2 linked regions of the Oreochromis niloticus genome follow. Each later gene encodes a partner of the first gene's protein in a complex. Links are inferred from orthologs where the notes say so. Each region holds a gene or a part of one and is shown on either strand. Other genes may lie near its edges.

The links.
Region 2: pola2 (region 1) and prim1 share a complex: the UniProt entries of both Homo sapiens proteins name them as parts of the alpha DNA polymerase complex. The link is inferred for Oreochromis niloticus from reciprocal best matches to the Homo sapiens genes POLA2 and PRIM1.

Annotation. Positions count from the first base shown.
Region 1 is NC_031966.2:21,169,163-21,185,740, reverse strand, and holds pola2 (DNA polymerase alpha subunit B), read left to right. Parts: upstream 1-8,824; 5' UTR 8,825-9,090; coding exon 9,091-9,175; intron 9,176-9,650; coding exon 9,651-9,775; intron 9,776-9,882; coding exon 9,883-9,971; intron 9,972-10,097; coding exon 10,098-10,155; intron 10,156-10,387; coding exon 10,388-10,497; intron 10,498-10,673; coding exon 10,674-10,873; intron 10,874-10,989; coding exon 10,990-11,078; intron 11,079-11,318; coding exon 11,319-11,471; intron 11,472-11,822; coding exon 11,823-11,885; intron 11,886-11,959; coding exon 11,960-12,011; intron 12,012-12,103; coding exon 12,104-12,222; intron 12,223-12,382; coding exon 12,383-12,421; intron 12,422-12,963; coding exon 12,964-13,037; intron 13,038-13,487; coding exon 13,488-13,596; intron 13,597-13,748; coding exon 13,749-13,855; intron 13,856-14,045; coding exon 14,046-14,102; intron 14,103-14,185; coding exon 14,186-14,312; intron 14,313-14,517; coding exon 14,518-14,670; 3' UTR 14,671-15,143; downstream 15,144-16,578. Other genes in the region: top6bl (type 2 DNA topoisomerase 6 subunit B-like), read left to right, coding at 789-809, 968-1,091, 2,278-2,343, 2,423-2,544, 2,658-2,741, 2,825-2,880, 3,217-3,288, 3,376-3,571 and 6 more; eukaryotic translation initiation factor 5B, read right to left, coding at 15,243-15,340, 15,417-15,451, 15,525-15,665, 15,735-16,550. UniProt on the Homo sapiens protein: Accessory subunit of the DNA polymerase alpha complex (also known as the alpha DNA polymerase-primase complex) which plays an essential role in the initiation of DNA synthesis.
Region 2 is NC_031984.2:12,815,343-12,831,534, forward strand, and holds prim1 (DNA primase small subunit), read left to right. Parts: upstream 1-7,472; 5' UTR 7,473-7,654; coding exon 7,655-7,763; intron 7,764-8,582; coding exon 8,583-8,740; intron 8,741-8,822; coding exon 8,823-8,929; intron 8,930-9,020; coding exon 9,021-9,094; intron 9,095-9,189; coding exon 9,190-9,326; intron 9,327-12,212; coding exon 12,213-12,271; intron 12,272-12,621; coding exon 12,622-12,731; intron 12,732-12,849; coding exon 12,850-12,941; intron 12,942-13,025; coding exon 13,026-13,158; intron 13,159-13,739; coding exon 13,740-13,809; intron 13,810-13,903; coding exon 13,904-14,016; intron 14,017-15,027; coding exon 15,028-15,126; intron 15,127-15,222; coding exon 15,223-15,242; 3' UTR 15,243-15,519; downstream 15,520-16,192. UniProt on the Homo sapiens protein: Catalytic subunit of the DNA primase complex and component of the DNA polymerase alpha complex (also known as the alpha DNA polymerase-primase complex - primosome/replisome) which play an essential role in the initiation of DNA synthesis.

The sequences.
Region 1 (16,578 bases):
AACAAACGCAGGACTGCATAAAAAGAATAGAAAACAAACCCTCCAATTTGACCGGGGTAAAATAATTCTGCAAAGAAGAGTAGCCAAAAACTCCTCCCCAGTGATGTGAAAGACTCATTTCCAGTTACTTGATTGTCGTTCTTGCTGCCAAGGACAGAACAACCACTGAACAGATTTACACTGCACTTATCTTTTTTCACATAGGACCAGATGGATTTGGATAGCTTTTATAATAAATGAAATAATCATTTAAACAGTGTGGCGTATTTAATCAGGTTATCTTTTTCTATTACTAGTATTTGATTAATGATCTGAAACAGTTAAGTGTAACAAATGTAGGGGAAAAAACGGAGAAATTTTCTTATGATCTAATATGCCTAAATATATAGACATTTTTTAAGATCAATTTTAAATGTTCAAAAACATACTTTTTAAACTACTGCCTATTATATGCTTACATATAAATTATCAAGTCATCATCACTTTTCATTAAAACTAAATAGTAAGTGATAAAACAGTTAGCAATACAATACATACCAATAAAAACCATGTTCAAAACTATGTAAAAATATTATTATTACTATTATTATTATTATTATTATTAATATTATTAATATTATTATGATTGTGTCAAATATTTTAAACAACTAATAAATAATAAATCATTTTCAAATTACATACAGATGCTTTCCTGGATTGGTATGAGTCAACAGCCTAATTACACGGAACAAAAGTTTATGTTAAATATAGGTTAGGGTGCTGATTTAGCACAAAGGCAACAACTGAAAATGCTGAAAGAAATGCAACAGGTAATTTTTTTAAGTAATAGCTATTCTTGATTCATGGTAGAAAAGAAAATGGATAAAGAGATTTAGAGATTTAGAGAGCAAATTACTAGCTAATGCTAACTAGCAAGTAGCGTTAGCATGCTAAGCTAGGAGTTTGTTTTTTCAAATGGCCTCTCCAGGTGCTGCGTTTGCTCATGCTAATGGGAAAGCAAAGGCAAAAGCTTTGTTTAAGGACAGGAGGAGGACTTTTGTTGCTTTTGTGGACTGACACAGGAGTTTCTACGCAAAAGCTGAACTGCACTGGTGAGTCAAAGCAGCTGAGATTGCTATAACACCAAATGAGCAGTAAAAGAGGTATAACAGGGAGATAAATGAGGATTAAGGTGGGGTTTGATCAAATATTGAAATGACAATGTCTTTGGATAAATGGGGTTATTTTTGATACACACTATATATTAGAAAAATACAGTATTTTAATATCTACAGGTCATTTTATTAGGGACACATTCAGCTTCTTATAAAATATCTGATCGGCAATCAAATGGTAGCAGTTGAATTTGTTTAGGTAAGTAAACATGGTCAAGATGACTATGCTGAAGTTCAAACTGAGCCTCAGAATAGGGATAAAAACAATGCGTTGGCATGCATGTTGATGCCCAAGGGGCTGGTCTGAGTATTTCTGCTGAACTGCTGGTATTTTCCCACACAGTCATCTCTATGGTTTACTGAAAATGGTCCAAAAAGAGGAAAATATGAGATGAGTGGCAGTTCTCTTGCCCAACCTTGAAGCAGATGGGCTACAGCCACAGTAGACCACACAGAGTGCGGATGTTTTGTAGAAATGAGGCTACAAAACAAACAGCCTAACCAGTATTAGAAAATAGAAGATTGGAAAAGATGCCTGGTCTGATGAGTCACAATTCATCGTGGAATACTTGGATGTTACGGTCACAATTTAATGTAAACAACGTGAAAGCACAAATTCATCCAGTCTTGTATCATCAGGTCAGGCTGCTGGTGGTTCACTGGTGTGGGGGGATATTTTCTTGGCAGACTTTGGGATCCTTACTACCTATTGACCATCAAAGAATGAATTAAAGCAGCTTTGAAGGCAGAAGGGGGTCCAACCCAGTACTAAGAAGGTGTACCTAACAAAGTGGTGGGTCTAGGGTAGCCTAGGTAGATGAGTGGAAACTAACCTAAAATAAAACTTCAATAGATTTTTATTGTATCAATTAAAGCTACAAATTATGTCGTAAATATTAAGTGTCTACATAAATTAATTTAATCTCCAAAGTATGGTGAAGATCATTTCATCAACAGATGATTAATTGGTTACCTTGAGGCATGAAAACAAAATAATTTATTACTGTACAATTACTGTTAGTGCCTTCATGTAAATTTACTGCAGTATAAAGATAACTAACAGGAAGCTAGTTGTCCCAGCAGCTCTTGGAACAAAGGCTAATGTTTTGTTGTATTGATCTAGTTAATTGCACAGTTGCAGCGGCTGGCCCCTGGTGTGCAGGGATTCAAATGGAAGCCCTCCAACCTGGTATGTATACACAAATATAGACATGTACACATAACTGGAACCTCCGTGCACTACATCGCCTCTCTTCTTGCTACATCAGTCCTTGCCAGTTTGAAAGAGAGCATGTTTCCCTGTGTGTGGCCATGTAATGAGCCTGACCCTGAGGAGCTGAGTGCCTTCACAGATCTGTATGGTTCCCTCAGATTGCTTCTATCTTTTCAGGTAGAAAAACAACCCAGATGAATTCTGACATGCATTTATTTTTTCCTTGTCTTTCAGTTGTAACGCAAGTAGTGTGAGTCACATGTTGTTTTAACATATCTTGCAACGTACAGGTAAAAGACACAAGACATTGCACTTCAGAGTGGCAAGCCCATATAGAGGCATTCCTGCGCACATTCTCTTTGGCTAATGCCGGGGTATGAACAGATCTGTTTCCCCATCTCGAGTCACATGTTAGGCTTCAAGCAAAAAAAGTTTACATCTTTCTTATTTTTCATAGATACAAATCCACCTCAAACTCAAAATCAACGGGGAGACCTCACTGCGGGAACTGAGGTACAAGTGCATCGATGTATATCATAGCTTCTCCCTCTTGTTTAACATCTCACAATTAATGACTTTGTTTTTAAGTTCATTAAGGATGTCACTTTATAAACAGAATTTAGCTAGTTATTTTTGAGTAAGTTTAATATAAAAAAGTTCAAGCAAAAGAGTATTGCAGTAGATCATTGTAATTGCCTTGAGTGGTTTGTCTTGGAGTAAAAAGATAAAAACGAGACAAAAGGCTGGCTGTGCTAAACCCTCTTGAGTGGAGTCTGGATTATAAATTACAAAGGAATGGAAATATCCGTCTCTGTTTTATGAATTGCTGACATAATCATATTATTGCAGTGTAAAGTTCAAGAGAAGAGTTGCACTGGCGGACCAACTGTTACTGACCCTGGACGTCACCTGTTCTGCACCGTCAGTAATGCCGCTTTTAAAGATTTGACCAAAATAACTGCCTCCTATTGATCTGTCTGATTTTCTCTTGTCCCCTTGAATTTAAAGGCCTCCGTGGTGTGTGAAGAAAGGGTGCTGGTGTGTGAGAGGACACCCTGCTATAGGAGGCAGGTTGCCCCTCAGCATCCCACCACAAACCATGGAGCAGGGCCTCTTTGGGGATCTGAGTGTTCAGGTGGTTGCACTCCTGACCCCCTGTCTGCTGCCATACCCCAATGTGACAACAGAACTTACTCACATACAAATATCCTTTTCATGTCTTATCATACATCTGTACCACACAGTCTCATTTCCTGTCATGGTAGGCAAAGGAATTGAATACGAGGGGAAATTCAGACAAGGGCCTGACTCATTTGGGGCATCTGATTTGGATTAGTCTTCCTTAACATGTTTCCATGTGTTGGTATACAACCCCAGTAACATTCCTGTCAATGGCCCCTCTGGCTTCTTTCAAAAACTTCCAGCTGTTCTGGACTGTCAAGAGCTGGGACTAGATAGACTTTACTGCTCTTCTTTCAAAGGTAATCACTGCTGGGAACAGCATGTTCTGATGTTCAGGGTGTATTTTACCTCTTTTTGCTGAGAGGTTTGATTTCCCAATAAAAAGAGTGTAAAACGAACCTGATGTAGGTCCAAAGTCCGGAACAGTTAATCCTGTCCTTACGGGATATTAAGACATTGAAACAATTAGAACTTGGATTTGTTACCTTTGTTGAAGAAAACTCATTTCAACCACCTGCGTGGGTTTATGAGAGAATGAGCCCAAGCCTGAGGCTGCTAATTAAGACTTTTATGGACCTCATAAGGCCGACATTTGAATGGGAGAGGCAAAACCAAACGGAACAATGGACGCAGAACAGAAAACATAAACAAAAGCATTAAGCACTAAAAGAAAATGGACTACAGAATTTACTTTCTGTCACAACACAGTGGTTTTCCCTGCACTCTAAAAACCTGCCTCATGAGAATGGGGTTCATCTGCAACTAATTTGCACTTGAAATTTATTTCCAATACAAGATTTAGTGCTCCAGTCGCACCACAAAATATTCTCATAGCAGCGATTTCAGTTGTGGAGAAAGGGTTTGACCTAACTGTCTGTTTCCCATGAATAACTGTGCTTTATTACAGTAATATACTTAAAAGGTTTTTTCCTTTTTTTTTCAGAAGTATTTACATAATTTTTCATGCTAATAGCTTTTGGGATGAGCAGTGTTTCATTTTCGTTTCATTGATATTGTCACAGTGACAGTGTAGAAAGCATGTGGAATGTGAACTGTGCGCAACGTGCAGACTGAATGTTTGACTTGATGACAGTGCTAGATAAAAAGACAGGACAACCAGAGTTCCTACAAATCTATCATCTTGAGAACAGGACCTGTTTTGTTGCAAAATATTCAGCAGTTGAGAAGACACATCCACAAGACTGCCAGTGCCATGCACAAAAAAGTCTGTCCCATCAGAGTTACCAAAACCTTTTAGAGCAATCCGTCAAGTTTTTCGGGTTTAAATTTGGACCAAACTGATGGACATAGAGGCAGCAGCATTATAGTTTTCCAACATGTATTTTGCAAATTAGTTGTATATGGCATATTTGAATAGTTTATAAGATCATTTGAATTACAGAGTAGTAGTCTTGTAAATATTATATGGTTTCTCCTGTCAATGAGTACCTAACAAGCAGGACGCTCTTCTCTAAAAAAGACCAAACTATCTTCTTGCGTCCAGACAGCAGTCTAGTAAAATGAGCCTAATTTAAGTCTTTATTAACCATTTAGTCATTTAGATTTTATTTTAAGTAGTAGCAGCAGGTATTTAAAGCCTTACCCTAAAGAGAGCTATCAAAAAGAAACACATCAGTCTGGAAGCTACATTTTAAAAAGACTTAACGGTCACTGTTTTGCACACAGAGCAGACTGGAGCAGTTTGATTAAACGCACTCATGTAGTGATAACAGTCAAAATACGGCCCTTTTATCAGAAACTGCTCTTTCACAATAAGTGTTTCCCCCTTTGTATACAATAAATCATAACTACAAACAAAACCGACAGTCTGTATTAATCAGCAATACCCTGCCCATTCACATTCACACAGTGAAACCTGAAAACACCCCGTAATCCATCCTGCTTCACGCTGTCTCTGACCATCTTCCATCATCATTTATTTTATTTAAGAAGTTTGATTTGGCATGAAAAGAGACACGTTTGACATGTTATTTTTTAATGCTGACATAAAAGGCTGCAATAAATAAATAAATGCCCTTACAATTATCTGCCCAACCCAGAGGTGTGTCTTTAATTGCCAGCATGTTAGATACATGTCATGCTGGTTGTAACCCATGTGTGGCTTCATGCAAACACTCTGTTTTCTTCTTAAAATTCTTATCTCAAGTAACTCCCACTGTATCCATCTTATTATTTTCTTTACTTTGGCATAAATGTTTCAACATCCCCTGCAGATCTTGTGTATAGCGGCGGTACTGTGTACACAGTAGAGAAAGACAGCTGGGATGATCCAGAGCAGGAATCAAGTCTTCCCACAGTGCAGCAGAGTCTCCTGCTTTTCTTCTTCTTACAGCATAGTGACCCCTTCACCTCCCAGCTCACTGATCTTATGGGTGAGGAACCGCAGCAGCATGTACAGTCACAAAACCCTACACTGTAGGCAGCCTTTCTTTCAGTTTTCCAATGCAAACATGCAAATTGTTGATCATTCAGCCACCGAGGTGTTGATAGAGCTCCACCTGGAGGACATTCTGAACAACAACAGGCAGGCCGTCGTAGCAGCCGTGCAGACTGAGCTGAAGAACACACTGAAATCGCAAAATCACAGAAAAAAGGCATGACAAACACATACACGCACATGCACAAGCACACTAAGTATCCTACTTCTTTTACTTAGAGTTTTTAGTCCTCTAATGATAACTATTACAGTCCATTAACAGAAAATGAATCAGCAACAATTTTGATCATTGACATCTTTTCTCTCTTTTCACTCACTATGGATTGAATTGGTTATGCAATTAAGCACAACCCTATACTCAGGTAGATTGTGATGGTTGTTTTATATTCATTTCTAACACTTATCGGCACCAGAAAAAAGTAATTGTGTATGTTTGTGTGTGTCCTTAAGCAACAAGAAAAGCTGCACGCAGCTGCTGAGGTGATTCTCAGTTCGTCCATGAGCATCGTGAGCAGCAGCAGTAGCATGGACTTCAGAAATGCCTGTCTGAACCGCATGAAGGTGTGGAAAAACTGCCTGTCTCATGGTGTGATGCAGAAACTGAATACTGTATTCAGAGGCGTTGACAACTTGTTAGGTTTGTGTTTGTCAGGTACATGATACACATGAGTTGGCAGCCTCCCTCCGTGAATCACTGTGGAGAGTGACATCATGGAAATTCGTTCCCAGGGCCAAGTGCTTTTCTACTAAGGTGAGTGAGACGCTTGCTTTCCGCCAGCACCACCCAATTCCTATAGCAGCTCCTCATTACCACTGTACCTCTTACACTGAACCACAATCTGATGCAATGTCATTGTTTTAACAGATGGAAGTACATCCTGTACACGATGAGCCCACCACAGCAGAAATCTGAGAATCTCTGTGTTTATCTTAAGAGTTCTGTTATGGTTAAATGCTGCGGAGGCGGCAGAAGAGGGTTTGAATGTGTTTAAAAAATTTAAAGTGCACCAGTTGTGCTGCCAAAAGCAACATCTGTTTAATCCATAATTTTAAAAGCACAGTTGTTGTTATAGCTTGGTTGCACCAGTTTATTTTTGTAATAATATTCCAAGGCTCAAATTGATCTCAGTTTTTCTTATCAATGTTATACCCATAGAAAAACGTCTGTAGCATATATCTATTTAGGATGTGAGGTGACATCACGTAGTGCTGGAGTACCAAATATACATTATTTGAGTGAAACACAGGGGTTTAACAGGAAGGTTTAGTGGGCTATTACAAGTTTAAAGTCAGAGTTTTCAGTGTGATAAAAGTGCCTCTCTTTTTACCTACATCACCATGGTAACCTGGAAAAAAAGCCCTAAAATCAGAGGCAGTGATACCTTTGTATTTGTCACAGATAGCCAGAAGAATGCCCACCGGATCTTTAATGAGTATCTGTTGTTGAGATATCTCCCTAAACTGACAAGATTGGACCCTGAAAAAGCCCCAGTTCAGATACTCATCCGTGAAACATTGGCATTCATCACCAAGAACTGTGCAATCAATATAATCAATTTCACTTTGATCTGGTGGCAAACAAAAGTGATTTTCACATCTTTTGGCTATGTTCCAGTAAGTTTGAATATTTAAAATTTGTAAAATGTAAAGTTTCAGAGCTCTAACATGCATCCATCCTATTAGAAATAAACAACAGCATTAAAATAATTAACTGGAGTTCAAATGTTTATTTTACCACTTTGTGTGCTAAATGCAAGATTAACAATTATCTGCTGAATTAATTTCCTGTCTTATTTCTAATAGTTTTGCATTTTACTGTTGTATTCTTTAAAGAATTTGGTCACTATATTATCATTATCTTATATCATTTCTGATTGGAGTAGGTGGCACTCATAGGGATCATTTTATGCAGAAGAAGAGTCATATGAACAACTAAACAGGTAATACAATTTGGAATATTATCTAAATTTAGAAAAACAAGACGTTAACGATCATATAATTAAGTTAAGGATATAAATCGGTAAGGATGCAATTTTTCGCATTCTTATCTGATTTATGCAGTTGTTTACAGTGCAGTTGTTTCTAGAGTGCAAACGAGTTTTGATAGATATAAAAACAGACAATAGGAGTTATTGCAAGAATGAGTCTGTTTTGCGTAACCTGTTATTGTGTATCGTAACAAGTTCCTAATGTGTGCATGGACAAAAAATGTTAGTGTGTAGCAGTGATTGTGAGTGTGACAGGTCTGGGAAGAAGCCGTTTCCCAGCCTTGTTGTTTTGGCACTGATGCTGCACTTTGTGAGGTGAGGGGGTAAAAAGTCCATGGGTTTAAAGAGTCCTTTTTGATACTGGTAGCCCTGCTGATGTAGATATCTTTAATCAATGACAGGCTGCTGCTGCTGATCTTCTGCAAGGACACAATTGTCCACTCCAGAGACTTCCTGCCAGCAGCAGAGCAGTATCAGTAACACACACTGCACACCTATAAAAAGATCTGAGAATTGTGGTACCCAGACCAGTGCTATCCAATAGTTAAACTGTACACATATGTTATCCAGTGATTCCCAAACTATGGAGCAGATAACCAGATGATTAAATAAGTATAAATAGATAAGAGTTAGTTGCCATTTGTCTGACCATTATTCAGATAGAATTCGTGCGTCCTTTGTTTTTAATTGTTGATTGGATGAACTGTGGGGCATTTGCGTTTTTCTGCTTCTGAAGTGGGACACTGCTAAAGTTTGAAACAACCAAGTTACCAGGACAGGCTTTTATTTTTGTGGGACCGCCAACTTCCGTTTATTATTGTTACGAATGTGACGCATATTCCGGCCGCCAACACGAACAGCGCTTTTTCGCGGTAAAATGAAACAGGCATCAGGTCGACCATTATTATTTCGTTTGTACTGTCTAACAGCTAACCGCCTGTAGGTAGTATTTAGAAGCCGTGTAGTTAAAAAAAAAAAAAACTAGGGTCAGCGGCATTGTCGCGAAGTAAGAGTAAAGCTAACGTTAGCAGCTATCATCACAACATTGGAGCTTTTCACGTTTTCCACAACGTAATAACTGTATATCATAAAACCATGTCGCTAGTAACTACAGAGAGCTTAAAGGCTGAGCTGGAAATATTCGATATACCCTATCAGGATGATTCCGTCCTCGACAAAAGTAAGTTGCTAACTAAGATGACCGTTTTTCTCATATGGATTGAGGCTTTACACAGGAGAGTGTGCTAGCAAAGAAGCTAAGTGTATTATCACTGTAATCATCGAGGACTCTACCATACGCAGGATAGCAGTAATGTAGTGTTGTGACATGTAGTTTAAGCTGTTGTCATCAGTCATAATATTTATATACCGATGTCAATGCGCTTTTGTTAGTTAAAGCTTTTAACTAAAATAGCATTTTTCTTCTTGATAACTTACTTTCACAAGTCAAGTAAATTAGAAATCAGCTTTTTTTTGTTTTGATTTCATTGATACGTCTTTTATATTTACTAAGCCATTTTTAAAGATCAAGAACAGTAATTATTCACTGCAAGTTGTGTCCCACAAAATTAATTCACACTGTACTTGCTTCTAGTATTTTCTCAGACACTCAGATTAAATCCTTGGTTGTTTTCCCTCATATATCCTCCATTCAGTGGTGGAGCAGTGTATTTGTAACAGACTGCAGACATCCGAGATACTGCATGAGTGGGTTGCCTATAGCGCCACAAAACAAGGGGTGAAGCTCACCATGGACACTCTGGAGCAGTTTGAACATGAGGTAACAGGACCACAGATTTTAACATGCATTACAAATTACTTATTAAATATGCAACAATGTAGTCATTCTCTACTCCTTATAAATGCAGCATGTTTGTCATCTTGCAGGTTTTGAACAAGAAGAGCAAATCCAGAAAAACCTCCCGGAAGGAAGAAGCATCCAGTAGAATGAGAGACATTAGCAGGATGGATGATTTGTATCCTTCACACTGATGCTTCAGCGTAAAGACCCGTCCATCTGCACTGTGTGGAGTCATGTGTTTTCTTTGATTTGTGTCTGCTAATGTTGCTGTTGAGTCATAGACTTTGACAAAATGAATCAGAATAAAAGCTGAGGAAGAGGAGGAGGATCTCTTAGATTCTTACTCTACTCCTGCTAAGGTAACCAAACACTTCTTGCTTGTCAGCAGCAGAGCATTATCTAATCTGAACAAAAGAAATACATTTTCATAACTTTAAAAAAAAAGTGTATCCATTTATGTTTTGGGTTTTTTTGTTGATATTCCTTTAAAAGCTAAGATAAGCTAGATGTGACTCGTGGGTCTCCCGCAGAGTAAGTTTGAGTCTATGTAGACAGACAAGATCCTGACTGTGTTTGTTCCTGTCGGTACAGGGCTCTCAGAAACGACCTCTGACGACACCAGAGCATCCTCGTTCAAAGAGAACTGCAGCTCCGATGGCCAGCCCGAGCATACTGCTGTCTCCAGCCAGCTTCTCTCCCAAGTACTCTCCACCCCATGCTGCTCTGATTTTTTTTGAAAACATGAAAATTATGCTCTCTGGTTGTGTTAAAGTTAAAAAAGAAAGCTTTATTTTTGTCACTAGTAACTTTTTTAAAGATAAACTTTTGTATTTGCATCACTGTCACTTTAAGTGACCTCCCCTTCTCTCTTTGGAAGTGCGACACCCTCACAGAAGTACAGCCAGCGGGGAGGAAAGGGGGAGGTGGTGGTCACATTTGGGGCTGTGCAGGGCACCCGTTGGGTGGGCAGGAAAGACCCAGGTGCAGGCGTCCAAGTTGAGATATTGGAAGGACCGGAAGATTCCCTTAACAGCAGCTACAAATACATGTTCCAGAGGCTGCGAGATGTTCGAAACGGTACATAGTTGCACACACTTGATTAAAGATTTCCTGTATGTTTGAGTGTAAAATCACTAAATGAATATACTCCAGAACCTTTGGATAATATTTTTTTTTTCCTGGGTCTTTCCCAGTGTTGACAGAGAAGATTGAGGAGCTAGGAGAAGGACTCAGGACTCACTTCAGCATTGAGGAGTTCTCCCCCGTCTCTCTGCCTGCCCAGGTACAGAAGAGATGACACCTTCAGAAAACTTTTAAATTAAAGATTCATCCCCACTGCTTAAACAATAAATTATTAAATAATAGTAGGTTGCGATAAAATGTTACGTTACATCACTGAATTCTTTTTCCTCTTAAAATCATATATATTGAAGAGTAAAATCAAACCTGCTTAAGTCTGTTAAATGTATTTGTTTGATTAAAAGTTAACTTCTTTCTTGGGTTTGCGTCTTCTTCCCTGCAGGACAGTATAACTGTGCTAGGACAGATTTGCTGTGACAGTAACGGCAAACTGAATGCACAGTCGGTTCTGCTAGAGGCCGGACCAGAACAAGGCGGTCAGCAAGTACCTGTTGACCTATCGGAGCTTAAAGAGTATTCTCTTTTTCCTGGTCAGGTGAGCTGAAGAAAATATCTTACTTTGACAGATGAAACTAGAAATGGGTACGCTGATGAGGTCCTTCCTAATGACCAGTCGGTGGTTTCTCCTTTGCCTGTGCACTGAGCTTATGTGCAGCAGGTTATATGGCCACCAAGAGTAACAGAGCATGCCAAGGACATGGGCTTGAGACTGACCCAGTGTCTGACCGAGAGCTCTGACAGTTTTTCCTCTCATAAAAATAAACTTTCAGAATTATAGGAAACCTTTTATCAGCAGAAGCATGTAGCTTTATGTTTTTGCAGCTCTTTCCAACAAACCCACATGTAAGAAAACATTTATCTAAATGCTTCTATTCTGTTTTTTTAGGTGGTGGTGATGGAGGGAATGAACACTACAGGAAGAAAACTGGTGGCTTCCAAATTCTATGAGGTCAGTTATAAGTTTTAGGCTTTAACACTTTTTGCCTGTTTGTGAAACCTTTTGTAATGGTGTTGTGCTTTTAGGCTGTTCCTCTGCCGTTCTACAGTTCTAACATGAAAATGGAGACAGATGAAGGTAAGATCTGTCTTTTATTTTGATCAATTTTTCAGATTTAGCTTGGAACTTAAAGCCATCTTCTTACACTCCACACTCTTCATTTGTTGCAGAGCCACTGAATGTACTGGTGGCCTGTGGACCGTACACTCCCTCTGACAGTCTGACCTTTGACCCCCTGCTGGACTTAATCAATGTTATTGTCAGGGATCGTCCTGATGTCTGCCTGCTGGTACAGTCTCCCTTGTTGTTCCATCATAAAACAGACACTATCCATGACAGAATTTCCACTAAAGCTCACATGTACACTGTCAGGAGTGTATTATGAGGGAGACAGTCCTCCCATGACTCTGTTTTGTCTGGTTTTCCTATTTCTTGTTTCTCTTCTCCAGCTGGGCCCATTTGTGGATTCCAAACATGAACAGATTGAGGTCAGTGTGACAGAGACCGTGTTTTTCTTGATTTTGAGTGTGTACACCACAAGAGGAAACATTTCATGCGCATTTTTGCACGTAAATTTTGTTGCGCATCACACACACAACAAAAAAACAAAAACCGAGAGCCTGAGTCAAAATATCACAATGATAACAATGGGTCAAGTTTCCTCTTTAAAGCATGTGGTCCAATAGATAAGTGAACAGTTTTTAAAAGGACGACCATTCATAAGGAACAATTCTAAACTCCTGAACAGGACTTTATTTAACGATCAGTCAAAATAAAATGTAAAGGTTAAAAAATCAAATCAAAATGCTTTAAAAGGGATATGTGTGTCGACAAAAACTAATAGGTATCACTTGCTGAATAAAACTTCTGTGTTATCCTTCAAGATATAACACTTAACCCACAAATAAAATGATTAGTTTCAGTGTTATTGGGTCTGGAAATGTATCCAAATTTGCAGTGTGAATTCATTTTAATCAACATATATGTTTGTTTGTTCATTCTTTGTCATCTTCATGTGTTTCTTAAATAGAAAGCCCAGGTGACTGAGACTTTTGAGAACATTTTCAACAGATGCATTGAAAGCATTGTGGATGGGACCAGAAGGTATGTGTTGTCTAATCAAAGCTCAGAGTCAGACAGCTTTGGAAATCCCCCTATCCATGTCACTTCCTTTGTAATGTTGAATTCAGGATCCATGTGTGACCTTTTCTGCAATTTTCCAAAAGTAGCAGGAGGTTTTTTCGCTTTTGTTTTAAATCTGTGCCTTAAGGACATTTAGCTGCAACCCCATCTGAAACCCTGCGACGTAACCTGCATGCAATTGCAATTGCACATGAAAATTGTCTTTCTTGTTGCTGCATTTAATTACATTTATTTGTGCATAAACTATGTTATCACATTATACAAGCAAGTTAAGAGAGAGATCAGTCACACTGTAACGATTCGAGGTTTGTTTTTGTCTTTTGTTTTTTTTAAACTATGCTTTTCACCTGTTCAAATCAGATTTTCTTTACCACAATGAAGCCTCGTGTTTTCTCGTTTTCTTTAATCCAGTGTTGGCTGTCAGCTGGTGTTTGTGCCTTCTCAGAGAGACATCCACCACCATTTCATCTACCCACAGCCTCCATTCAGCCTGCCCCACATCAACAAAGAACAGGCCCAGGTTAGACACTGTTGTTGCATGCTGATGAGCACATGCAGCAGATTTCTGAGCACTCGTGGCAAACCTTATTTTAATAGTGTAGCATTGTTTGTCTTCCGTCCTAGAGATGTCATGCTCTCAGGTTATATAATGTTTGTCTTCATGCTTTGCAGCGTGTCACCCTGGTCCCTGACCCCTGCACCCTGCTGATTGACGGTGTGACTATTGGCTTGACATCAACTGACATCCTCATCCACATGGGTCCAGAGGAAATCAGCTGGTGAGTAAGGCTGTTTTCTAATTTGCACCAAATTCTGACATCAAGGTTGCAGTCAAGATCAGAAACACCAAAGTGAGTTACATTTTATTCAGATTTATAAAGAACAGGTGTGACCGTTTTCTTAAATTATTCACGTTTTCCAATGAAGGTCATCAGTGTACATAGTTGAAATTGATGTGTTGCATTGCAGTGGAACCGGCTCAGACAAATTCTCACGCATACTGAAGCACATGCTCACACAGCGAAGGTAAATCCTGAAGGAGTTCAGATCTATTTATTTATTTGAGGTCACGTATTATTTAGTGATCGTGTCCATGTTCTCATGTCCAGTTACTACCCACTGTATCCGCCTGCGGACGAGGTAAATATGGATTATGAGAAGTTCCAGAGCTTCGGCCAAATGCCGCTCACCCCCGACGTCCTTGTTGTTCCCTCTGAAATGCGCTACTTTGTAAAGGTAAACAACTCGTCTTCCCTTTGACATCCTATATATACACATTTATTGAGCTAATTGATTGCAGAATCATCAGGCATTGCATTGATAATATAAAGTAAAACAGAAAAATTATTGCTTCTTTTTTTTAAACGTGAATTTTTTTTTTTTCTTTTTGGATGAGTTTTTTACGAGTGTTATGTTATTTAAAATCCCCTCCCATCTTCAGGACGTGGTTGGCTGTGTGTGTGTCAACCCTGGGCGGCTGACCAAAGGCCAGGTGGGCGGGACGTACGGGCGGCTGCTCATCCAGCGCAGCCCTCAGTCAGAAGACGGGAAGAGGGAGAGCCCGTGTTTGACTGCTCAGGTGGTGAAAATCTAACAAGAGTGCAGACTCTCACTTCTAATTGTCACCAGAAGTGAGCTGGTTTAACCAGGACCAGCTGTGCTACAGGCATGCTGATGGAAAACCATTTAAAAAAAATTCTTTTGTATATTGGTTTATTTTTATACCTTGAATATGTTGAAGTGTACTGTGCTCATAACTGATGGATTATCAGTCAAATACAGCAGCAATAATTTCTTTTTCAATAAATTATTGTTGCCCTTTGTACAGCTTTTGTAACATTGTCTCTTCCAATTGAGTTTTATTGTTGTTCAGATGTTTTTTTTATGTTCCTGTGCCTCTAACAGGAGGAAGTAACACGCTGAAAAATCCGGTTGCTTTTGTAGCTCAAATTGAAAATAATTTTGTTTGCAGGGAAGTCTGAGTAATGTCTGTATTCCAGTTTAAGATTGTAACATTCAAAAATGCCTTTAATTAAAACAAGAAAAAATAAAACAGTTATTAAATAACCTGTTGTTTCTGTTTTTAATACAATATTGTAAAACACTACTCTGCAGTACTTAATTTTAAATACAGTTTTGTCTCTTTTAACTTGCACAGCAGTACCTTTAGTCATAAAAATGATCGAACTCATCAGAGTCATTTGGGTCCTCCGTCTTCGACTTGTCATGCTCCACTTGAAAAATTCCCATGTTGGGAAAACTTGCTGGAAAATAAATTGAGCATAAATCAAAAGTCCTGCAGCCTTTCTAATGCTACTGTAATGACTGGTTATACTGTACCTTTGGGCTTCTCTTCAGCTCTCAGATACTTTTCTCTAAAAGCAAAAGGAAAAGTGAGTGGCACATCTCACACTGTAATTTAAGTCAGTCAGTTGAAAGAGTACTTACTTTTCCTGTGTTTCTTCTTGAGGCGCAAGAAGGTTCTCAATATCATCTTCATCACTGACTTCGTTTGAGTCATCATTATCAGATCCTGTTTTACCCTCTTCCTGTTCCTGAGCTGCCTCATCAGTTATAATCTGTGTAGATCTAAAAACGGGGATTGCATTAGATTTTTGTGATGTCTGTGAGGAATATTTCAATCCTTCACCATCTTACCTCTTTTCTTGTGGTGTGACGATGCAGTTGTCTGAATCTATCTGATCTTCCTCACTCCCGTGTTCCTCTTCCTCACTTTTGTCATCCTCCTGTTGATTCGAGTCCTCATCCTCTTCTTCACTGCCTTCACTTCCATCCTCTTCGTCCTGAGAGGAGGCAGCACCCTGTTTTCTGTTCTCAGTGCCTTCGTTCTTCAGCCTGATTGACTGTTCTTCACCTCCCTGCTCCTCTATTTCATCATCTGTAGATGTCTCTGCTTCCTCCTCTGTTGCGTCCTTGGCAGAAGCACCATCACCTTGTTTGATATCGTAGTCATCTTGTTCTTTATCTTTTTGACTCTTCTCTTTTTCTTCACCGTCTTCTTCAGCTTCCAGGTTTTCCTCTGTCTTATCTTTAACTTTTTCTCCTGTGCTGCTTTGCTCAGCGCTGCTACTGTCCTGCTCTTCTACTTCACCGGCATCATCATTTTTATTCTTTGCACTGTCACTTTCTGATTCCTTCTCCTTCTGGGATCCTGACTCTTTGCATCTGTTTGTTTTCTCTTCATGATTTTGATTCCCTGCTTTTTCACCCTCGTATGTCTCACTCAAACTTCCTGACTCCTCACCAGTGTCCTGAATCTCGGAGTCACCTCCCTTACTCACAGTCCTTTCCTCTGCCTCCTTCTGAGATCCTGGTGATTGAACAGAAAGATCCCCAGTTTTCTTTGTCCTTCTGCTACTGCTCCTCAGGCTTTTCTCTGACGAGTCATTGCTTTCTGAACTTTGGGCCACTCCAACTGTGGGACTGAAAATGGCACTCGAATTCCCAGATAACCTGAAAGATGGAAGAATGGATGAATGAA
Region 2 (16,192 bases), on another chromosome or scaffold:
GCTCGAACCTGCAACCTTCCGATTACAAGGCGAACTCCCAACTCTTGAGCCACAATCGCCCCAGAACTTGACTTAAAAAAATTAACAAACCATGCAGGTAACAGGATTGACATAAATTATTTTATGGACAAATATCTACATTTAATTCGTGTAAAAGTATCTACGATGAGCATAAATAATGGGAACTAAAGTTTGATTTTATAGTCTTGTGTGATAGTCTTTCACATCTTTCTCCAGTCACAGTTTTTTTTCTTGTCAGACTCTCAAAATGTGGGACACATTTTGTAAGATAAGGTTTACTTTATCTGTCTAAAAGCAGGCGTTAGAGCAGCCAAAGCATTAAATGAAGGCACTAAAAATGGCGTAAAGCAGAATAAATAGTAAACTTTTTTTTTTTAAAAGATTAAATAAAATGCATTTTAAAAAGCAAAACAGTTAAATATATATATTAAGGGGTGAAAAAGAATAAAAAGGAGTGTTTCGTTGCAAGTGGGACACCTGGTCACACTTATAAATATCATCAGATTCTTGGTAAATACTTATATTGCTCTTTTCTACTCTAACTGTGCACTCAACGCGCCTAACACAGCTTGCCTCATTCACCCATTCACACTAGCACTTTTTTCTATGCTCTTTCTATCTAACATTCACACACATCCATATGTCAATAGATGCATCGGAGAGCAACTTGGGTTTATTTAGCATGCAGACTGGAGCAGACCACCTGAGCTACAGCCACCCCAAAAAGCTTCTTCACAGCTCCGTTTGCCTGTTTGATTCTGAAACACTGATGGATTTCCCAACTGCCTCTTTAGATTCAGCGATACTTATCAAGCTAATGTGCTCATGGGTTTTTTTTTTTAATTATTTAAAAAGCCTTCTAAAGCCTCAAAATACTCCAAACTGTGTTTTAGTCATTTTTATGCCTCTTGAATTTTTGAATCCAAGTCAATATCAAACATCCAACAGTGGCATGTGGAACTTTAATCCAGGATAACAAATACAGTGTATAACTCATGACATGCAGTTTAACCTCAGAATTGAAAATATTTGCATTGGAGTTCTAAATTTTCTACTATTTCTTGTTAAAGGTTGTTACCTTTAGGATACTGGATGCCTGTGCTGGCATTTCTCCTGCGGTGTTGCTATCAGTGTGTGAAGAGTGGGAGAAGAGGGTTGCATTGACAATCCAACACAATGGGCAGCACATTGAACACATTTTATAAGTGGTCAGAAACTTGTAAATAACTCATGAAAGAATAAAGTTACGTTGAAACCAAGCACACCATTGTTTTTCTTGTGACATTACCAATAAGTTTGATGTGTCACATGGCCCTCTTCCTATTGAAAAAACAAAAGTTGTATCCAAGATGGCCGACTTCTAAATGGCCACCATGGTCACCACCCATCTTGAGGAGTTTGCCCCCTCACATATACTAATGTGCCACAAACAGGACTTTAATAACACCAACCATTCCCATTTTATTACGGTGTATCCATATAAATGGCCCACCCTGTATTATAAAGAGTTACAGAAGGACATTAATTTCATTCTGATGGGAGCAGAAAGAAACAGAAACCCTGTCTGTGTCCAAATTGTCTCTAAAGTTCACTAATCACTTCAGGTATTATTTATTTAACCTGTTAAAACAAAAAGTAAAAATTATTATTTTAAAGCAGGTTTATGTGCAAAGTTACTTCTTGGCACGCAGGTGCATTTAGGTTATAGGGGCATCCAGCAGTTAATCCAGATGTTTTTGTGCCCAGCCAATCCAGTATTTCTAGAAATAAATAGATTAAAGACAGTATTATATGGTGAGCTCTGCTAAGCAGATTTCTATTACCGTTGGGCAAACCCAGGCAAGCTATTTCCCCCCTTTTCCTGGTTATTGTCCAAAGTAAACAGCTCTGTGACTCATGGTTAACAGACAGAAATGAGAGTGGTATCTGTTTTGTCACCAAATTCTCAAATTAACAGGGCAAAAGAGCGTCAGCAGTGCTAAATTACGGTATCTCTTTAAGTAAACACAAAACCCTTCCAGTGACAGTAAATCCACAAGTTTAAGGGGATTTTCATTGTTTCGTGTTTTCTTCCTGGAAAACTTCAGGCATCTTTGGCTATGAGTCTAATTTTGTTCACAGCTAATAAAAACAGATACTCGTGGGGAAATATTTGCCAACTCTGCTGGAAAATGTGATTCATGTAAATCAAATGTAGAGCAAATTCCTCTTCTGTCAGGCGGTTTTTGTAGGTGCATCCAGGAGTCATCAACAGCACCTCATCTATTATATGAGTGGTGTCAGTGATGGTTTTGTGTGCAGGGTAACAACAAAGTCAGCAATGAGCGCAAGAAAAGACCAGAGAAAACTAAGCAGACACATAAAGTTTTATTCTCCCCCTTAAACCTTGCCATACCTAAGGTCAAAGGTCATTTTGTCATGAAAAGGCTCAACTGAAATGGTTCAAAGTGTGGCATCACATAGAAATTCAGCTACTCTGAATCTGGTGATGTATACGTAGCCTGAAAGACTCTGTTAATTGAATTCATGTGTCACAGTCATGTAAGGATGCAGTTATTTTCACACAAAACATATGAGTGACTGCATGTGTGCACGTGTTTGTGTAACATACAGCGTGCAGCATACAGGGTAAAGTGCTGCCTGCTAAATCAAACAAATGACAGTTGGTTTCGTCAGTCTGGACAATAACAGATAATTCAAGAGTGTCGGCTGTGTGGCAGAGGGGAAATGGAGCATGGTGCGGTGTGCACAACATAAATGCCGAGGGCTTTTTATGAGAATGATGTAATGTGAGAAATGTGCGAGTTTGCAGGAATTTGTAAATGACTCAGTCTTGAGGTTAGCCTCCTCAGATTAACATTTCCCCATTTGTGAAATCTGTGAAAAGCCAACAGTGACTGTTTGAAGTTTCTGTGAAACTCAACATTTTATGATTATGTTGTTTCTACACTACTATTCTCTCCAGAATTGGATCATTTTATTTAGACTCAAGTAAAACCTCATTAAAAATAGCATTACTATCATTATTACTATGAGTACACCGCATGCTACTGTACCCTATTATTGGCAAACTGATGTACTTAATAAAAGTAGAGAGAAACACAGTAGCAAAATAGGGGTGGTACATGTTGTTTATGTACATAAACAGAAGATAAAGATGGAACCAAGTGTATGTTTATGTACAGCATATTGTATTTACAACCGTCTATTACCTAAAGAATAAATGTACTACTACACACTGTTCACCTACATTAGGTTTATAAAGAAAAATTGGTATCCAAGATTTTGTACATCGAATATAAACCCATGTAGTAAAAAGAAACTTAACTTTCATTATAAACTGGTTTTTGGGTGATTGTTTTTTTTTGTTGTAACAATCTTGACTTGAGTATGTGGGCTGTGCCCATGAAAAATCTTCTCTGTCAAGGCAAGACATCTTATTTTGCTTTAACTCACTTAACCTGGTTCTGCCAAAGGTTTTTCCTTCTCATTGTCACCAAGTGCTTGCTCACAGGGAGACGTCTGATTGTTGGAGTTTCTCTGTATTATTAGGGTCTTTACCTTACGATAAAAAGCGTCTTGAGGTAACTGCTGTTGGGATTTAACACTAGATGTATTGAATTGAATTGAATTGAATTTTGGTGTCATTTATTGGATTGGTTGATTAATGTCTGAAGAAACAAGACATTGGCAATTTAACAATTGATTCATTTAAACAACAGAGACCAGCATCTTATTCTCTGACCAACACTCTCACATTGGCTGACTTGCAACAAATGCTGGTTGAAGAATGAGATGCCATCCCACAGCAGTGTGTAGCCAAGCTGTTGACCAGCATGTGGAAGGAGATGCGCCAGGCTATTGTAGGTGTGAATGGTTCTTTCACATCCTACTGAGTCCTCTGTTTGCTAAATTAATAAATTATTAAATTTCCAATATGACTCTATGTCCAATCATCCAGGTAAGGAAATCCCCCCCAAAAAAGATTCTGGATGAAGTGTTTTCAGTGGGAGAAATGTTTCGTCACTCATCCAAGTGACTTCTTCTGTCTTAGCTGACTGCAGGTTTCCTGAACTTCGTAAATAGTACATTTGCATAATGACTGACACTAGCACCACTGACTGACAATGGGCCATGAGGTCAGTTTCGTGGTCATTAATTTGCCAGTTGTCATGACCATTGATCAATGACCATTCCAATATGTCTTGTCTTTTTATGCTTAAATCATCATATCATGTTTGGCTTAGCAGTCTATAAAAGGCGTCAGGTGATACAATGTTTCACCTGTTACCAGTCATTTTAGTTGGTTTTATTGTGTTTGGTGTAATTTTACCTTTTTTGGGGGGGGGGACGCGTCTCAAGCTTCCTGCCTTAATTGAGTCGGTAGAAGCCATTCTCATGTTAACACCGGTATATGTAAAAATACATAAACATATGTATGCAGACACAAGTAGACCAGGATTAGAAGCAAGACAAGCAAGCAGTGGAATCCAAAAATGAAAACAATTAGCTCTCATACCTCCTTTGGTAAGGTTACTGTATCTTTGGACATACATTTTTGTGTCACTCCAGACTGGTTTTAGGGTTTCTATTAGCCTATTTCACCAGGTTTTCCTGATGAAAGGCAACATTGGCACACTTTGGCGATCTAAAGACACAGTGACTTTTCAACCATGAACTATGACTCCTCATGTACAACAAACACAATGACTTATGGTGCTGGCCAGTGGGCTCCGTGGACACCTGAAAGCAGTCTGACCTACATTCATCAGCTGAAAATTGTATCTTCTCCCCATGTTTTACCTTATCTAACTTGCCCCACTGACATTTAGCATTGAGCGTGCGGCTGTGACTGGTAGCTATGTGTTACAGTACGTATCTACATGCATGATGAGCCACTGGAGAGCTTAAATAGCAACAACAACTCACAGAAATGATTGATATTAGAAACTCCTGAATGTAAATATGCATTAATTATATACTCTAATATACAGTAGAATTGCGGATCAAAGCAACAGAAGGCATTAATCCCAAATCTGATTCAAGTGATTTCTAGAAATTGATTCAAAAGGGGGAAAAATGCATCGCATCCAATATGCCTTGCAGTGAATAAAATTTGCATAATTCAAGTAAGATGAGGTTGAGAGCTCTTGCATTATGCAAATCAGGGTATGAGTGGTATATTAGCATAAAGTGCAATCATAAAAGGAAATGTATTGGCATTACTTGTCTATCAGTTGCTCTTGAGTGTGGCACAGTTCACTGAAGCTGGTTCATTACCATCAATCTAGAGTGTAGGTATTACACATGTTACTGTAGTTGGCTCGCTCAGCATTTACATGTGTGTGTGAAAGTGGAGAGGAAGATTAAATTTAGTGCATATGAAGATGTTTTCCCTTGAAATATTGCCTGTATATTAGAAGCTACAAGTTACTGTTATGTCTTCAGTGGGGAAGGATGATTTTGAAGGTTTGTTGTTTGGTCTGAAATAAAAACAGAGTGTCAGAGATGAATAGAGATTCAAGTCTGGGGATGAGACGGAATGAATAATATTACAGAGCCAGACATATTTAAAGTACAACACTGCAAATAGAGAGTGTTGTTTCACATTAGAAGTACAACAGCTGACAAGGGCTCTTGTGGCTGCACACCTCTCAACCTTCACTGTGAGCAGCACCACTTCAGTCAGGAGGTGTTTGATGCACCACAGTGAAAGCTGTAACACTAATAGTGCAGCAACCCAGACTGATGGGCAGGACAGAAAGAGGCTCCATGCCTGACACTTTTTGTCTTGAAAGCGCATGTGGCCTTTTCAAATGTCAAAGCAAAGGGTGGATGTGACTGAAGAGTAAAAATGGCATGAATCAATCAATCAACCCAAAAAAGAGCTGAAATAAGCTGCTGTTTGTCCTTGTTTAGCTCATTTGGATCTCGTATTTGGCACCATTTCGTCCATGCTTCACTGAAAACTGTGGAAGTGTCCTCTCCTCTTTCCTGAGTGTTTACTGCTCATACCAAAGATGCAAGAAACAGAATAACTGAGTGTTTTAGTACAACTGATCTGCCAGGATGATGAAAACTACTAAAAGAAAACAAATTTCCTGAAATGTGGATTAATGTGGGAAATTTCAAATTATTGTTATGAGACTGTACTGCCCTCTAGGGGTGTACAATTCAATTTTTCCAGCTTAGGAAAAATTGAATTGATAGTATTATATTTCTTCTCTTTTCCAATCCACTTCACTCTTTCAATCAACATTTTTTATTGAATACCTGAGGATGAAGTAAATTTAAAGAAGGCTTGAAGATAAAGAAACCTTTGATGAGGCATCTCTCTATTACCCTTCTTTGTCTTTTCTTATTCTTCCTTGATGGAGGATACATTAGCCAGTTTCCCCCCCATTTTTGTTTGTTTGCTTTCAGTTTCTAATTAGTTTACGGAGAAATGTTGTTTTGTCCTATGGCCCATCATGTGGCATCTCAGACTCCGGTCTTTTTGTTTCCTTTGCTCAGGCCCCCAGACCCTTGTAGTTCATTTATATTTACGTTACTCTAAAAACACTCAAATAAACACTTGATCATCACTGTATAAACCAAAGAAACTTCAGGGATATCACTCTGTCCGTTTAAGAAGCATAAACCATCATGGAACATTTGTATCAAAGCTGGGTCTCCCAACATCCACTGAAGGATGCAAGGGCCTGATGCCATGCCACACAGCAAACCTTTCAGCCTGTCTGCATGTTCTAACCTGGAAGAGCGTGTCACATGTGTGACCTGAATGGGCTGCAGATACCATCTCATGCTACTGGTAGTATCAAGGACACAAGCAAAAAGCAAAAAATGGAGGAGGGATGAAGTGAGAGCAATGGTTGGATGGATTTATAATAATATAGTAATTTATTCATTCATTCATTGTTAATTTATTTCAAACATGTAAACAATATACATGTTTGAAATAAATTAACAAGTAACTAAGTAAAGAAAATAAGAGAGACAAAAATACTATACAAAAGTCAATACATTTCAATATTGCTACCGTTCTGAGTAATTTATGGAGCTACTTTACCAAAAACCACTGTATTGTATTATATTCTGTGCTCTTTGTGTTTTGTTTTCAGGTTTACTTATTGAGCTACTTTATTTTTTAAATAATTAATTTATAATGTTTACCACAGCGTCTTTATTTTGTCATATTGTACTTTATAGTTGTTGCTGCCAAACGACTACATGTCCCATGAGCCTCTCTTCACTGGCGTCACGTCCGCCTTTTTTAAGCTTCTAGGACTAATATTACAAGGTTAACTAAAACCAGAAGGGAAAAAAAGAAAGCCATTGTCAATGTTATAGTAACGTTTCGATGCAGTAATAGTTTAAAAAAATCTCATTACCCTGGATGATTTTGCCTTCGTTGATTTTTTTATAGCCTAAAAGAGAAACGGCTGCCTTGCAACTTCCTGGTTGTGGTGATGTCACTGACCTAAACTTGTGTCATTGGTTTGGTCTGTTGCTTGAGAGTTTTCCCGCGCTACCCTCGGCGTAAAACAACACAGTGAGCTGTCACGGTGTAGCTAGCGGCTTAGCAATATTTTACCGTATCTTTACATCCACAGCTAATTTTAGCTATCAAATAATGCCATCATCAGACTATGATCCAGCTTCTCTGCCGGACCTATTACCGCTGTACTACCGGCGGCTCTTCCCATTCTCCCAGTATTACCGCTGGCTGAGCTACGGAGGAGGTGAGTACACAGGCATGGAAACCTAGCATAAATAAGCTAAATAACTGGGGGTGTTGATCTGTGTTGTGTTATATAGGAAGCTAACGTGTTTTGTTAGGCACTAAAATGGTAGAATTATTCTGGATTTGACTTTCTTCCAAATTAGTAAGTCATCCTATACAGCCATTCTAGCTTCATGTTAATCCCTCTACTTTCATCAGTAAAGATTAAAATGATTTTGTATTAATGCATCCTACGAACACTGTAGTAATGCTGTTGTTTAACAGGGATGCTGAAATTCTGGTCAGTTACCAGTGTTTAGAATAGTGTTTAAAATAGGTCAGTAGCCAGTAATGAAACAAATGTTTGATTTGTTTGAATTGTTTTGCTGTTCTTCAGCACGTTATCATTTATCCAGCATAAACATTGCATTAGACACTCAGTTCATCTGCAGATAAATGTGAGCACTCTCTTCTTGACCTCTGTTGTGCACCAGCCATTATTGTAACTGCAGATGTATAAATATATCCACCTTTACTACCACTCCTTGCAGCTTCACTGTTACACCTGTCTCCCTCTCATTCACAGACATTTATTTTGTATTACGTCTACTGACTTTCATTCCTCATTTCAGAATGGATGGTTGCAGTACTGTAACATATGCTTATAAATGAAACTGTAAAAGTGCCGTTGACAGTAAAGACAGGATCCACTGCTCTGTGATGCTGACATGTATAACTATTAAGAGTTAGACAGAGAGTTAAAAATGCCCAAATACAGGACTAATGTGTGTGTCTTGTTGAATTTTTTTGTTTCTTTGTTTTTCTTGTACAATCTCAGTGCAGAAAAACTACTTTCAAAATCGCGAGTTCTCGTTTACCCTGAAAGATGACATCTATGTACGCTACCAGTCGTTCAGCACGCAGAATGAGCTGGAGAAGGAAATGCAGAAGATGAACCCCTACAAGATCGACGTGGGAGCAGTGTACAGCCACAGGGTAATTTTCCACACCTTACAGAGTTTGTGCATCACGGCAGACATATGTATGGAGTATGTTTGTCACTCTTTGTTGCCCACAGCCAAGTCAACACAACACTGTGAAGTCGGGGACCTTCCAGGCTCTGGAGAAAGAGCTTGTGTTTGATATTGATATGACAGATTATGATGACGTCCGAAGCTGCTGCAGGTAGGTTAATTATGTATTTATTTCCTGTCGCAATCGCGGAATATCCTGACCGTTTCATCGCCCACATAACACTTTAAAACTGTCATTTTAGTGCTGCTGACATCTGCTCCAAGTGCTGGACCTTAATGACCATCGCCATCCATATCCTGGATAGAGCTCTTCGAGGTTTGGTCATCACAGATTCAGTGCCAGGTGACAGCTTGTGTGGATTTTTGTTGAAATTCTCATCAAGCATGTGTTGGTTTTTGTGTTACTTCCAGATGACTTTGGTTTCCAGCACCGTCTGTGGGTTTATTCTGGCAGAAGAGGAGTACATTGTTGGGTGTGTGATGAAGCTGCCCGGAAACTCTCTGTAGCAGCGCGCTCTGCTGTGACAGAATACCTCAGCCTGGTCAAGGTACGAGTACTTCAACTTTTAATAGAAGTCCTTTGTAAGTACTTTCTACTTCCTAACTTAATCAATTAAAGTTTTTTGTTTCTTTTTTTTATAAACTTTAATTAACAGATGTTATTGGATATAACCACAGTTAACAGGTTGGGATTGCTAAAACATAATTTGAATGTATAACGCAGTTAGAGAAAAGTCAGTCTATTGATGCATTGCACATAAACCACCAAACGCTACTTGTCCTGCCAGACTACTATAATAAGATGTTGAACTATTATTATTATAATTAGAACAAAGTGTCGCACGTACATTACAATGTGCTTCATGTGGATTCATAGAACAGACCACACAACAGCTAGAACAGCATGCGATAGATAGACATGGAGTACAAATATTAAGACTCTTAAAACAAAATTAAAAGAGCATTTATTAAAACTTAAAAAAGATAAAACAAACTAATACCAGGGTTTGTATGGGTACTTGAAATCCTCGAAAATGCTTGAATTTTAATATTGTCTTTTCAAGGTTTGAAAAGTGCTTGAATTTCAGATGTGGTGCTTAAAAGTGCTTGAAACTGTATTTCATTCACCACAAATAACTATCTGACCGAATAGTTTTCTTATCAGATAGAGAAAGAAAATGAGTCGCAAAGTCTAAAAGCAAAATTTCTCCACCTGGGCTGCCAAGCACCTCTGCATGTCAGTCTGTTTCAATGTGTGACCCCGCCCCTCCCCCGGACAGTTGGGGATGAGTGCACTAACATGCCTGGAAATTGCCGTTTTAAGTGTTTGATGGAAATGACAATGGCAGAGTTTGCGCTCTCGAGTCACATGATAGGTGAGTCCTAGTAATTAATTTTTGAGAATGTGTACATATGTGTACAATGTGTACGTGCACATTTTTAAAACTATTATTATTTTGCTAGCTATCAAACTTGCTGGAGAAATGATTGAAATGCACTGAGTGTGATGTAGTACGGCAGCGCTATTATAGCAGTTAGTTATGGCATCGCATGGTGATTTATAGAATATGCTGTGAATTTGGCTAACATTACTTAGCAGTAGCAGTAATGTGAGTTACTTCACTCAAGTAAAAGCTTTAAACGTTAGTCCGATACTTAACTAGCCAACTTAAGGCTTAAGGAAATAATGGTAATAAGAGGGACTGATCCATATGGGCACAAAAAATAGCCACTTTTGTTGTGCTACCGAAGTTCCCTGGCTTTCATTCAAAATCTGTTTATTTTTATAAATTATAAATGGCTTCAAGCTCACATTGAGGCCTGTGGGGCACTATCAGCCACTGAGACAATAGACAAATTTGAGTGTTTTAATATATGAATATTTTATACTTTAAGGTTGCCTGTTTATTTAATGGAGATGAACAATATATTATAATTGTACCTAATAATATCACAGATGATAGACTAAATAAATAGATTTTAGGTAGATGCTTGTGCATTCTTAAAGTCTTATATGTTGAATTGAACTATGTCATCTGTTCAAAACCTCTCCCAGTCAGAGCTGTTCTCCAGGCCTGTGTTATTGTACATGGTGTTATTAGCACAAACACTTTAAAGGTGATCATTTATGACTTGAACAGTAATGCAGACAGCAATGTAGTTAAACTTACAGTTGGTTTTATTGGGAATTAACTTTAACCTGTTAGGCCTCCAGGGGTTTTCTGAGCTTTCTGCTCGAAAATGAAATGACCAAAATAAATGGAGTATTTCTCTACAATTACAAACTCTGTGTAAACAGTCTTGGTATCAAAATAAAGGTAACACTTGTGAGATGTCATCAGAGGTGTAAATATTACTGCAGATGTTACTATGTCAACATTGCTGTGACTCAAACATAGAAAAATGTGATATTTTTTTTTTATATCCCTCGCCTAATTTTTAAAAGTATTTTATAGCATATAACGCCTTTGAAAATATGCTTCGGTTCACATTTAACTCCAGAAAATCATAAATCAAAATATGGATATTACCTGTCCAAAGATTCATGGTGACGTAACTGCTCTAAACTGTTTAGTGTCTTTGCTTTGTTTGGTGTTTGTAGAAATGGTTTATATGAGATTTTAGCTGAGATTCAGAGGTTTCTATGGACACTACTCATGTCGGCACTTATATTCTGACCTCGTGTTATAACAGATTAAAGGTGATCTCCTCCCTTTTGCCCCCATTTTTTGGGGCGTGGGTGATTAACTAGTTAAAAAAACAAACATCTGTCTCCTATTTTTTGTGCCACATAGGAAAGCCAATATCTGATGAGAAGACTTATTAATTTGGCCTTGCTGTGTATTATTGTGGTGTTTGGTGTTTGGTGCAGTTTTCTTGTTTTGTGCGATTGATGTTTTTTTGTTTTGTTTTTTCTTTTCAAGTGGAGAATATCTCTACCAAGTTGATTTATTCACATTTGCAAATCTTAATTTTTAAGAAAAATGTGTTTTTTGAGTTTGTACACTATATGAATATAATGCAACACTTTCCTTTTTCAGTATTTGTCTGTATTTGTCTTTTCTATGTTTTAACAAAAGGCGAACAAAGGACATTTAAGTCAACCTAAAATGATTTGTTTTCATTTTTACATGGCCTTACTGAGGTGATGCTAAGAACTGGGTAATGTGCTTGAAAAGCTTGAAAATGGACCTTGAAAGTGCTTAAAAAGTGCTTGAATCTGACCCTGAAAAATGTGTATGAACTCTGTAATACAGTACTTATTGAGTTAAAAGATGTGACTGTTTTCCTTACATCTGCACAGTCTTAGGACTCTGATTTGATTATTAATCAGACTGTTGTCTTATTTGTTGTTTCATGAGTAGCATACTAGAGAAATTTATCTTCCTCAAATGGCCTGCAATGTTTGATTTTAAAAATGTGATGTTTTGTAGGGTGGTGATGAAACCGTGAAGAAAGTAGTGCTGACTGAACCAATTCACCCTTTTATCAGGTAACTGTTTGATTAATTTTGGTGTTAGTCTCTTATAGTCTGTGTCTGTGTTCCAGCAAGATTGTACCCATTTATTTTTCAGTATTTTTCTTGCTTTGCCTCTCTTTCATCAGCACAATCTCTGGACATCATTTTTAATTAGGACCATTTTTGTAAGCAGTGACACACTGTGTTCTCGTTTGCCTTGTGAATTTGCTAATTACTTTCACTGAGACAGCTGTCCTGGATTTCTGTGCTTGGGTGCAGTTGTGATCACAGTGATCACCATGTCTGGATACAGTGATCACTGGTTACACACTCTTGGGTTCAGTGCACTCTGTGCTTTTTAAAATTGTGCCTCTTTTTAACAGCAACTCTCTGGACGTGGTGAAGGAATATTTTACCCAATATGCACTACATGACCAGGACCTGATGGGAAGCAAGGAGTCTGTAGAAAAAGTGCTGGCACTCGTTCCTGAGGATATCCTTTTCTTAGTTTACCGCATATTTGCCGCATAAAGTAATTGATTGGACCTATAGACATTTGTTGGCAAAGACTTCAAAGATCTTGTTGAAAGTGACTTGACTTTATATATTACATGCCAGAAGCTACCTACAGCAGGAGTTTGAAAAGGAGAAGAAGCCTGAGAAACGTTGGAAACTGATTACGACAGAGGCTAAGAGGAAACAGGTTGGTAATTTTGCTCACAGTTTTTACATTGTTTTACACATTAGAACAGAAGGGCTTGTCGTCTTACAATCTGTCTCCCTGAAGAGCACTGCAAAGAAGGGCCAGTACTTTGAAAAAGAAATCATGCTGCAGTATTGTTACCCACGGCTCGACGCCAACGTCAGCAAAGGTGTGAACCATCTGCTGAAGAGTCCTTTCAGTGTACACCCCAAAACAGGTGAGCATACTTTAAAGAGGCTTGTATTGGAAATGTCTGGGTACTAAGAGTACATGCTAGTAATGTTAGTAATATTGTATCACACTTTTTGGGCAAAGGTGCTCCTTGGAGTCAAGATTATTTGCTTGTTTCCTATATTTTTGCATATTTGTCAGACTCAAATGTTTCAGATAATCAGATACATTTTGATATTAGACAAATATAACCCAAGTAAATATAAAATTCTGTTTTTAAATGAATGAAAATTTTAAAATAAAAAAAGCTTATCCAAACCTACCTGCTCGGTGTGGAAAAAGTAATACACTGGATGGATATAAAATATTGGCTTCTTCATTCTGTTAAATGACATTCTGTCATTCATATCAAGGTTTATATTCCTGAAATGTCAGGGAAATGTCAGCTGTCAATAAAGTGTGTCAGTATATCAATGTCAGTATATCAATAAAGGCTTTTTATTGATATACCTCAAAACTCAGAGGACCTTGGATGTTTTTTCTTTTGTTTCTTTGTCCCCAGGTTAATCTAATCTGACTTAAGTATGAGTGCATAAAACTGCATCCTCTCTCTCTCTCTCTGTCCAGGCCGCATTTCTGTTCCCATAGATGTCAGTGAATTGGACAAATTTGATCCCTTTTCTGTGCCCACGATCAGGTAATAATTTAATGTTTGGTGCTCTGTTGTCTGCAGCATGTGAGTGATCCTCAAGAAGACTGATGTTGTAACATTTTGTTTTATCTTGTTGTAGTCTGATCTGTGAGGAGCTGGATCGGCCCAGGCCAGGCGAAGAGAAAGAGAAATTAGGGGATGGGAAGGAGAAGGAAGACGAGAAAGATGCAATAGAGAAGCGCAAGATCAGAGGTGCTGGGGGAAAGAAAAATGCAAAGATCTACCTGAAACTTTTACCTAAAAATACACCTGGATAGCACATAAAACTTTGAAATCTTTAGGCCTTTAAATGGGCTGACATAAGGTGTTTTGGGGGCTAGGGTCTTCTCAACGGTATGATGTTTTTTTCTGAGTGTAAAGATCATATGACGTAAAATAATCACCCGCACTCTCTAAAATGCTCCTTACATAATTCGCTGAGACGTACAGGCCTAGTCACTAGTAAGCGATACAAAAAATTTGAATTCCCCTGCCAAGTGGCCAATGTTTGCTGGAGGTTGCTGACTGTTGCTAGGTGAAATTGTTTGCAAAGAGCGTGCTTCATCCAAAATCTTATGATTGTTGTGGTTGCTACAAGATCACCTATTGTTTGCATAATTGCTTGGTGTTGCAGAATTATGAAATGCATCAAAAACAGCCTAAAGATGTTGAAGGACCAGATCAAGGGAAGAGCTAGTGACATATAAAATGTTGTCATCTGCATAAAAATGTACATTTTGGGTAGCAAAGTTAATATTGTTTATGTACCTTTTGCCTTTAAATTAAAAGTTGTGCCTAACTGCTGTAACACAACATATCTCAAATGGTGGAACTTTTACTTTGAAGGTGATCATTCTCCATGTCTGGTTCACATCGCATTTTTCACAATTTCACTGCAAATAGTTGGTGAGTGTAAGTGCAGACAAGTCAGTGTTTCTCATGTTAAATATACATGACTGCATAATCTGCTAGCAACCAAAGCAATGAAAAAGCAAACTTGTAGCTAATTTCACTAGCAACTGCCATCAATCACACAACCTTTCAAAATCTATGTACACCTGAATGAATGACTGCTGCATTGGAGTATGACGTTCCCCCCCCAAAAATTGGAACTTTATATAGTAACTTTATTGTTACTATATTCATATTGTGTAAATATTTAAACATATCTTTGATGTATCTGAGTGTTTCAGCTCATGCTACTTTTGCTACTTTTCTTCTCAGATTACAAAAGAACCAGCCTGGCGAAGTACATAAAATACTTTGACCAGTTTCTGGATGGAATGGCTCGTTCATGGAAAGCAGAGCGTCTCAGAAAGAGTGGTGAGTTTCTTTTTTTTTTTTTTTTTTATAGATTAAACAGAAAATTTACAGCAACTTTTAATCATTTTGCTTTTCTTCCTTTTTTTTCCCCTTCAGATCTTCAGAAAGAATTCTGAACTGGATCATCAGAATGTGACACCTCAGAACAACGTCCTGTTGCCTAATGTCGCTAATTATGCTTTGTGGTGTTTTTGGTGCCGTTTTTCTACTACACATTAATTTCACCAGAATCTGTTTTATTTTCTTTGTAATAAAAGACTCGGTGATAAAACATTTATTAAAATGGTTTATAAATCCCCTATTTTTTACCATAAAATTTCTCAGTAAAGATTTATTTGTCTAATTGTTGGCTGTTTTTGTGATGAATAAATTCAGTATTTCTACTCTTGCAAACACATTGTCTTCCTTAAAAAAAAAAATTAAACAAAGGGTTTCACATGATTCACTTCATCCACTGAAGCTTAAGGATGAGGAGTCCCGTTGATGTGTTAGCAGGGACTCCTCTGCCTCAAATCTGTAATATTCAGGTTATAGGCTTTAATAATAACGTGTAACTATCCAGTTCTTGTAATGAGAGTTTCAGCAGTTCCTGTGAGTCCATTCAGTCTGAATATCTACTTCTTCCTTCCTAACGAATTACTTGCATGAACTATGCTGCAGTGCAAGATTTAGGTATTTTATGATTTCCGTTTTATGTTCTAACGTTATTTAACTAAAACGAATTTCTTTTCAAATTAATTTTCATCCTTCAAAATCTGAAACTCCATGGAAAATATGATTTACTCTTGCTGTTGTTAAACAACATCAGGAATGACTCAGGATATTATGTTTTAGTTGATGCACCACATTTCTTTGCTTATTTTGATTTGTGAGTTCAAAGATTTCAAGTTGTTTTCAACTTAACTGCTTGTTGATTACGGGAAAATGTTTTCTCAGAGATTTGCAAGTTTTTGTCCTATGAATTTGCCATATTTTCTTTCAAATAAAACAAAAATCCTCCTAAATTTACTTGTTTTTATGGGAAATTTAGCAATTTTATTCTTGTAAATTAAAAGAAAATCTCTTA